Schizosaccharomyces pombe: one gene and its partner. The protein of the gene in region 1 purifies or fractionates together with the protein of each later gene. This does not show direct contact. Each region holds a gene or a part of one and is shown on either strand. Other genes may lie near its edges.

Region 1 (3,928 bases):
AGAAACAAAATTAAAACCAAAAAGCAAGTTGGTAAAATCCATATAAAACTGATCAAATATAAGAAGATGCAACATTTTCTAACAATTCTGGAAGTCTAAGAAATCGCTGTATACGTGCACAAGGTCACCCGTGATATTTTGTTGATGGTGTGAACGACGATGATCCAGAGCAGCATTCAGAGATATAAATTCACGACAGTCTTCACAGTAAGCGATGCGAAGATTTGCTAAACGTAAATGTAGCTTTTCACTGACAATGGCAGCTGGAGTATCTCGATACAATGGACATAATGTGGCAGCAGATGAAGGCGTACCATAACCCAATGCAGCAAGGGCATCTGTACCTTGAGGAGCTAAAGGTTAACTGATGAAAAAAGAAGAATTACGTATGAACAAACTGATAGATGAGTGAAGGATACACCAATTCAACCGTAAAACGAATAATTGGAAGCAAAGCAACTTTAACAAGACCAAGTCTTTTTTTGTTTATATCCAACAAAGATCTATCAAACTATACAAGATGGAGCGAATTAATAATAAAAAACATACCTTTGGAAAACCTAGAGTCATAGGATGGATGGATGGGTTGTTGTTGGAGAGAAGAAGATATGGAAACATCTGAAGGCATAGCAGTTGGTAAAAGAGAAGTGTTGGGGCCGTTTTGGGCAAACATATTCATAGAGGGAGCATAAGGAGCAGCGGTACGGGGAATGGAATGGGCGGAGTAATCTGGTTGACGGGCAAAAGGATGACGATGATGTTGCTGTTGGGAAACATTAGCGAGAGACTCAGCGGCATCGACAAGAGAACTGTTCAGGTTTCTAGGGACTTCTGGGGGATTGACGCCGTTCGTTAGGTTCGCAGCAGCAGCAACGGCGGCTGCGGCGACGGCTGCGGCAGCAGAGGGGTTGGATTCAGGCACTTGACTAGGGTCAGAACGTGCCATAGAGGCGCCTGGCGGAATGGTATCTGAAGGATGTGGACGGCGTGCGCGACGCCTTGAGTCCGAGAGTGGTCTCAGATCATCGTGGGGGGAGACTTTATTAATTTCAGGAGGAATGTTATTTGGGTCCATTGCAAGAAAACTGGGACATTGCTTGGCATGAGAGGCAAAGTTGACAGGTCTTCGCCAGTTCTGGCGACCACACACACATTGGAAGCGACCGTTTTCATTTCGTCTCCACACGTACCTACGATGGCCAATAATGACAACCGTTTCTACTTGATGGTACGTTCGCTTGTGATTCGTGAGGCCCGACTGCTTGACAAACATCATGTCGCATTTGTCGCAGCGAAAGGTGGCATTAGGCATGTTGGGCTGCTTGGAGGCGTTAGCAACAGACGTCCCGTTCAGTGTACCTGGTGAATTATGTGATTCCTCGCCCTTGAGCTCACTTCCGCTCATAACAGGATGCGATACGACGGTGGGAGTGTTGGAATGGATGGTGGGTGAAGCCGCATTCAAAGAAACCCCATTTTCCGCAGTAGGCAGCGACGACGCTGCTGATGTGGCGACTGCACTCATACTCTCGTTCCCACCAAGCGGATTCACGTTTTGCAAACGGCCTCCATTGTTTTGCAAGCTCCCATCCATCTCCTTTTTTCTACTATTGTTTTGGTCAGCGTTCATGTAAATTTTGTTACTGGAGAGCTCATCATTGCTTGTGACCTGAGCGTACGTTGACGAGGCTTCTGGCGAGTGCTCACTCATAGACTTTACCAACAAAAAATTTCGACTCAGTTTGAATCGTTAGCTTTAAATATCTCCGGAAAATACGTCCTCACACTCGACTTTGCTTTGCTCAGTCAAAATCAAATTTTTCGCATGCAGTGTGGAGGTGTTGGTGGTAAGTAGCATGAAGGTAGCAAAAGGGTAGCAAAAAAATATTAACGAGACTTAATGTGGCTCATTAGGATGACAGGAGTGACATTCCAAGGGTAACAAAAGTCCTAAATTTAGCAGGAGAAAGCGAGGAGGCAAAGAGAGACTAACTTGGGATCGATAGAATGATGGAGCAGATAAAAATTCCGATAAAAAATAGGTCTCTTGTGAGGAAATCATACACAATCTGCGTTGGTGGGTCTTTGCTTTGTTTACAAGAAAGATCGGTAAAGAGCGATAAGCATTTATTGCGATACGATGGACCGTGGTATATTGATCTGATATCTACTATAGAGAAAGAAGTAGTAAGGAAAGTGGGAAGAGAAAAATAATATTAAAATAACATTATAATGTTGAAAGAAAAAAGAACGTGAAAAAGATTGGTGAAGTTCTGTGAACCTGGCTGGCTAGATGTTTGTTTATATCCGGGGTGGAAGATGAAAAATGGGTATTCCTAGCTGAACACAATATACTCATTCATTTTTTTGCTTTCAGTGGTTTTTTACTTTTTATGTGAAGAACTGCCCTGACTTGCAGCAGGAATAGGAAATGCGAAACCATATAATTAAAAATTCAACAGATTGTTGCACAAGTTCCCTTTTTGTTTACATCTGTCATAGAGGGAATCCTGACCAATTGCTTTTAAAAGTGCAAAGACTTTTAAATTGTAGTTTTTTCTGGATGAAAAGATTTAAAAACACAATTTAGGTCTTCAACTGATGGAAGGAAGAGTCTACGTAAGGTGTCCTATGAAAACTCTATAAAGCAGTAAAGACTCCCAACAAAAGAAAATAAACATTATTTTGAAATATCTTTAACCATATGAGAAGGGGGAAACACTAAGTTTGAGGCGATGGAAATGGACATCCATTTTTAGGTCTTCTTACAAACAACAATGTTGTCTTTGTTACAAAAGTATGTGTTGCGTACATCAGATTTTCAAGGAAATAGAAAAATACTTAACAAGAAAAAATATGTCGTATTTGCCCATGAAACTGTCCAGCGCTTAAACACGATAATTCAATATCAAGCACTCGCCAATAATTCAAAGCATTAAGCAAAAAATTCATGGGAATTTTTTTCAAATAAAAGAAAAATCAATACTCTTAATCAAAAGTATTGTCATTTTTTCCCTCAGTATTTAGCAGGCCAAGTAAAAAAAAAGTTGTTCCAATGAACGACGAATTCAATGCCATATGTTACATACATTTTTTACCTCTGTAAAAGCTGAGATAATCAATTTGTCATTCTCCTTTTGACTCGTTTTCCTCATCTTTTCTTTACCTACCTTTCGACCTGTTGTGATTTTCATCTTTCACTCATCACATTTCAAGCTATGTGGAAACCTTATTAATACTTTCCTCTGCATTTTAACCTTGAAGAGTTTGGAATAAATCCATCGAATTAGTGCATTTACCCAATTTCACTCAATATCCCTCATCATTTTAGTTTATTGCTGTTTTTTATATTTCTCTTTAACAAATTTCTAATGTCCACCAATGATCATGTCCTTTCTCTTCTACAATCGTTAGAAACTCGTGAACAATTGCAAAAGCAATTACAGATCCGATCACATGAAGTAAGATTATAAATTCGTTGGGCGAATTTGTTGCTTTTCTCCCAACTGTTGAAAACACTCATTATCTGCTACTTATGTCCTATGAAACATCTATTTTGTTAATGATTCCTTTTTATTAAAGTTTACTAATGATATTAGGCATTTTCACTTCTACTGAAAAATAAATCGGACTTTTCAGTTGCTTCCCTTTTATCAAATCAAAATTCTCCGACTTTCAAGAAACCTCGAATTTCTATTGCTTGGGTAGATCCTATGTTCGGAAAACAACAAAAAAGAGCTGTCAATCTCGGGACTGGAGACGAGGAATACCAGCATTTAATGTTCGAAAATGCCATTTTTCAAAAGGAACCAATACCAGAAGGACTTATTAAAAGTGATTCAGTTTGTTTTCATGATACCGACGTAGGGTTTACGAATGTTTTAGAGCAATGTTTAAAATTGTGCCAAGTAAATCAAAAAATTGTTTT
Region 2 (3,928 bases), on another chromosome or scaffold:
TCTATTTGCCTAAATATTTTATACATGTCACGTTTTTGATCACCACCATTCTAAACCCATACTATACTTGACTCTACAGAATGCTGTCAAAACGGGGATTAAATCCCGTTCAAGCGGAGAGCAGAAAGAAGAAAAAAAGAGAACAAATTAAAGTGCGAGAAGAAAGAGCAAAACGCCATGAAGAACGACTGTCGCATAGGAATATGAGCCAAATGGAACGCCAATTATCAGAGCTGACACAATTAGAATCTTCGCAAGCTTTAAATGCACATGACAAGCAATTATTACAAAATTTGCAAAGAGATATGGCAATTATGAAGAAGAAAAACATTCATGGACATAGAGTTGGGCGTGTTGAGTCAGACAAGACTAAGGAGGCAGAACGTCAACATAAACCTAGAAAGCCTTTTATCCCTAAAAACCCAAAACGAAGTATATATTATGATCCAATATTTAATCCTTACGGAGTTCCGCCGCCAGGAATGCCTTATCGTGAGAAGGAAGAACTAAGTTCAGAAACAGATGAATCCGTTATTGATATACCTTTACCTTCTGAAGAATATCCTTTTGAGGATCCAAAGCCAAGGGAAAAGAAAAATAAGAGCTTTAAGCCAAAGCACCACAAAAAGCAAGACATAAATGCAAGTTCAGCACAACCAAAATCCACTACTACGACAGAAGCTGCTGCAAATACGAAGGACATTGAAGAGGAAACTATGATTGAGTACTCAGCTCAGCCGGTAGTCAGAGATTTACGACAAGAAGCTGCTCAATTTTTACCTGCTGCGTTTCAACGACAAAAACTAGCCAAGGGGCAGAAAATTGGACAGCCAGACAGGGATGTATCGAGCCAAGTTCAGGAAGACAAGGATGAAGAAATAGATAATTTCTACAAAGAAATTGGCGGATATCTATAAAAAAGTCGTTAAAATTATGGAGATTGGAAGTAAGGATTACCAAATGGGTGTAGACGGAATTTTTAGTTAATAAACATGCATATTAATTTATATATAATATCTGTTTACTAGGTTCAATTTTAAAGGAGCTTGATTGCATCTCTGTACTTGTTTTTTTGTTTTATTCAATTATGAGTGAGCTTTCATAAGTTAATTCAAAGGCTTATTATTATGATGCGGTCAATAATTTCAAATTTTTGATGTCCAAAAAAAACAAAGGAGATTTTGTTTCTGTGTTATTGCATGATATTTATTAATGTTTTCTTGGTTCAATAATTCCTTATTATAGTCACTTTTACACTGCTTGAGCGAAAGGGGATTTCAAAAAAACACCTTATATTCATCTTTCCGTGATTATTTCAAGTTGACTGTTTTTTGTGAATTTGTCTTTTGCTAAATTATGATTGTTACACTTAGTCCTACACTGTTCATTACGAATCAGATTACCAAAAAGAAAGAAGTACATGACTAATTACTTGGATTAATTTTATTTTATTTTCATATGTATTTAGACGCCATGACAGTATTTACATGCGTAAACCAACGAATTCGTTTATCAAATAAAAATATCATAAAGGAAACCTTTAAAAATCGAAATACACATGCTTAAGTTAAAATTTGCACAATGAGAGATGAGGGAGTACTTATCTATCTTTTGCTTGCTTTTCTTGGGTTCATAATCTTTGGTTTTCGCTATAAATGCTGTATGAGACTAGGAAGCTTTTGCAGTCAATCATTCTATTATTTATAAAAACAAATAAGTTATTTATTGATTAAAAACTCGTGATACTTTTTTTTGCTATAAAATGATTTATTTACATATAATTACAAGGCACTCGCACGACCTCGTTATGTGCGAGGAGCCATGAAATTGAATCCATTGATATTAAAATTAGCCAAAATGCCATTTCTTAAGAATGGGTAAAGTCCTGTTAGAGCTGCATTCAGTACCATGGAATGAAGAAGGTTTGAGTGATAATGCTCGACTTTATTCATTTTTGGAGTTCGTAAGCCCGAAAATCGAGGAATTGAAGTACAGAAAGCTTTTGTTAGAGAAACTACAGACTCACATTAGGGAGGTCGTTTTGGATGCTGAACTTCAAGTATACGGTAGCATGTATATTGGAACAACATTATCTATAAGTGATGTAGACGTATCTTTGAAGTCACCTCGAGTTGGAGAATTGGAGAAACGACGCGTCACCATGGTTTTAAGAAAGTACTTGGATGCTGATGCTGATTTCCATTCTAGTGCCAGAGTCCCTCGCATCAATTTAGTAGATGTTAGTGGAATTGGGGTGGATTTGACGTTTGGAAATGACAAAGCTTGCAGAACTGCTGAATTGCAAAAAGCTTATAACGAAGAACACCCAATTTTTGGTAGATTGCTGATGCTATTGAAGCACTGGTTGTTTGAAAGAGATTTGGAAAACGTTCATCATGGCGGGATTGCAAGTTGCGCGCTCTCTTATATGCTAATTGGTTGGCTTGAAATGCGATTTCACAAAAAGGGAATTGATTCGGAAGTGCAACCAATTCGAGCTTTACTACAGAAATTCTTCTATTTTTGGGGAGTCGAATGGACATACGAACTTTTTGTATTGAGACCTTTAACCGGTCAAATAGTTCCTAAGCTACAAAAGGGCTGGTTAAACGAAGTGCAACCAAATTTGCTATCTATTGAAGATCCAATTGACAGAAATAACGACATTGGAAAGCAATCATTTCAAATTAGTATGATTAAAGCTGCATTTGTTGCTTCAGCTAATGAATTATTATCCGATAAGACATGGTTTAGCACCTTTGCAATTACGGAAGATGAAATGTTTTTGTGTAAACAGTTTGAAAATGTTATAAATACTAAACGAAGTTTGGTGGAGGGATATGATAGTGATACGGAATCAGATGAATTACAAGCTGGCGGATAACTGCGGGTTAATGCATTTAAAAAATAATGCTCGCTGTTTAAATAAACATTTGTTTTTCAATTCCTAAGTTGTCTTGCCGCATGTGGTAATGTTTCACTACAGTTCGTATGTACTTTACTCTTGTTTAATTGAATGGATTCATATTCTTATTATTGATAGGATATAAGAATCCTACAATTATCTTAGTCATTTTCAAGTCTTTTAATTTTACTTAGGCAAGGTTCGGCTGTTTCAAATGATATCACATTTTGTACCTATTGAAGGTGCTAACAAAATCTGTTCTTTAAAAATTTCAAAATTAAATCTATTTTATTCTTTTAAAATCTATCCAAGGATCCATGTTAGATTTTCAAGTCAATTTAATAATTGCATTTCACTTAGATTAATAAATGTGTGTGCAATCTATAGCTTTTTCGAAAGAAGGACGCTATCTTCTGTTTTGGAGCTCTCATCAATAATGAATCCCCGATGAATAAACCATTCGGATACATCGAGTTTAGGGCTTAATTTAATGTAAATTTCTTTGGCTTTTCCCTCAGCTGCAGTCTCGCAAGCATATTCCAACAGCTTGGTACCAATAGAACGGTTTCGATAGGCTGGCAAAACTGCCAAAGATAAAATTTGGATTTTGTGCGATTTATTATGTGTTTCTTTTTTGCATCTAACAGCTCCTACGCAGACCTGGTTAAAGTACGCATATTGTGCTAAAGGCCCGACTGAGATTGTGTCTTTGTAAAAGGAGGTTGGAAATATAATGATTTCAGGATCAAAACACTTTTCGTTAATAACTTCAAGGATTTTCAGATTATTAGGGTTAATCGCATCAAGTTCAATCATCTTTTTTATGCAAATGCAAATATCTTTTTCTATATGTACTTGGTGTTGTCAACTTTCAGTCTTTAAGGCATTCTAATGCAATAGTTTGAGTTGGAAACATCCACGATAAAATCTTTAAACAGTACGCTGCATTTCATTAATCCCGTTGTCACATGAATGTGAAGGTATTGTAGATGCTGGTCGCATAGGAGAAGCGTTAACAAGGCT

What was found.
Region 2: the proteins of deb1 (region 1) and cid12 purify together in Schizosaccharomyces pombe (affinity purification with mass spectrometry; one study listed by BioGRID). This does not show direct contact.

The regions. Positions count from the first base shown.
Region 1 is NC_003424.3:3,534,410-3,538,337, reverse strand, and holds the start of deb1 (DNA-binding transcription factor Deb1/Rdp1), read right to left. Parts: upstream 1,844-3,928; 5' UTR 1,712-1,843; coding exon 550-1,711; intron 354-549; coding exon 79-353; 3' UTR 1-78. Other genes in the region: protein tam5, read left to right, coding at 3,372-3,461, 3,600-3,928.
Region 2 is NC_003421.2:1,653,796-1,657,723, forward strand, and holds the start of cid12 (poly(A) polymerase Cid12), read left to right. Parts: upstream 1-1,850; 5' UTR 1,851-1,873; coding exon 1,874-2,884; 3' UTR 2,885-3,286; coding exon of another isoform or gene 3,287-3,721; 3' UTR 3,722-3,835; coding exon of another isoform or gene 3,836-3,928. Other genes in the region: splicing-associated factor Saf1, read left to right, coding at 81-917; NatA N-acetyltransferase subunit Naa50, read right to left, coding at 3,287-3,721; trp663 (TRP-like ion channel protein), read right to left, coding at 3,836-3,928. UniProt on the Schizosaccharomyces pombe protein: Has a role in the RNA interference (RNAi) pathway which is important for heterochromatin formation and accurate chromosome segregation.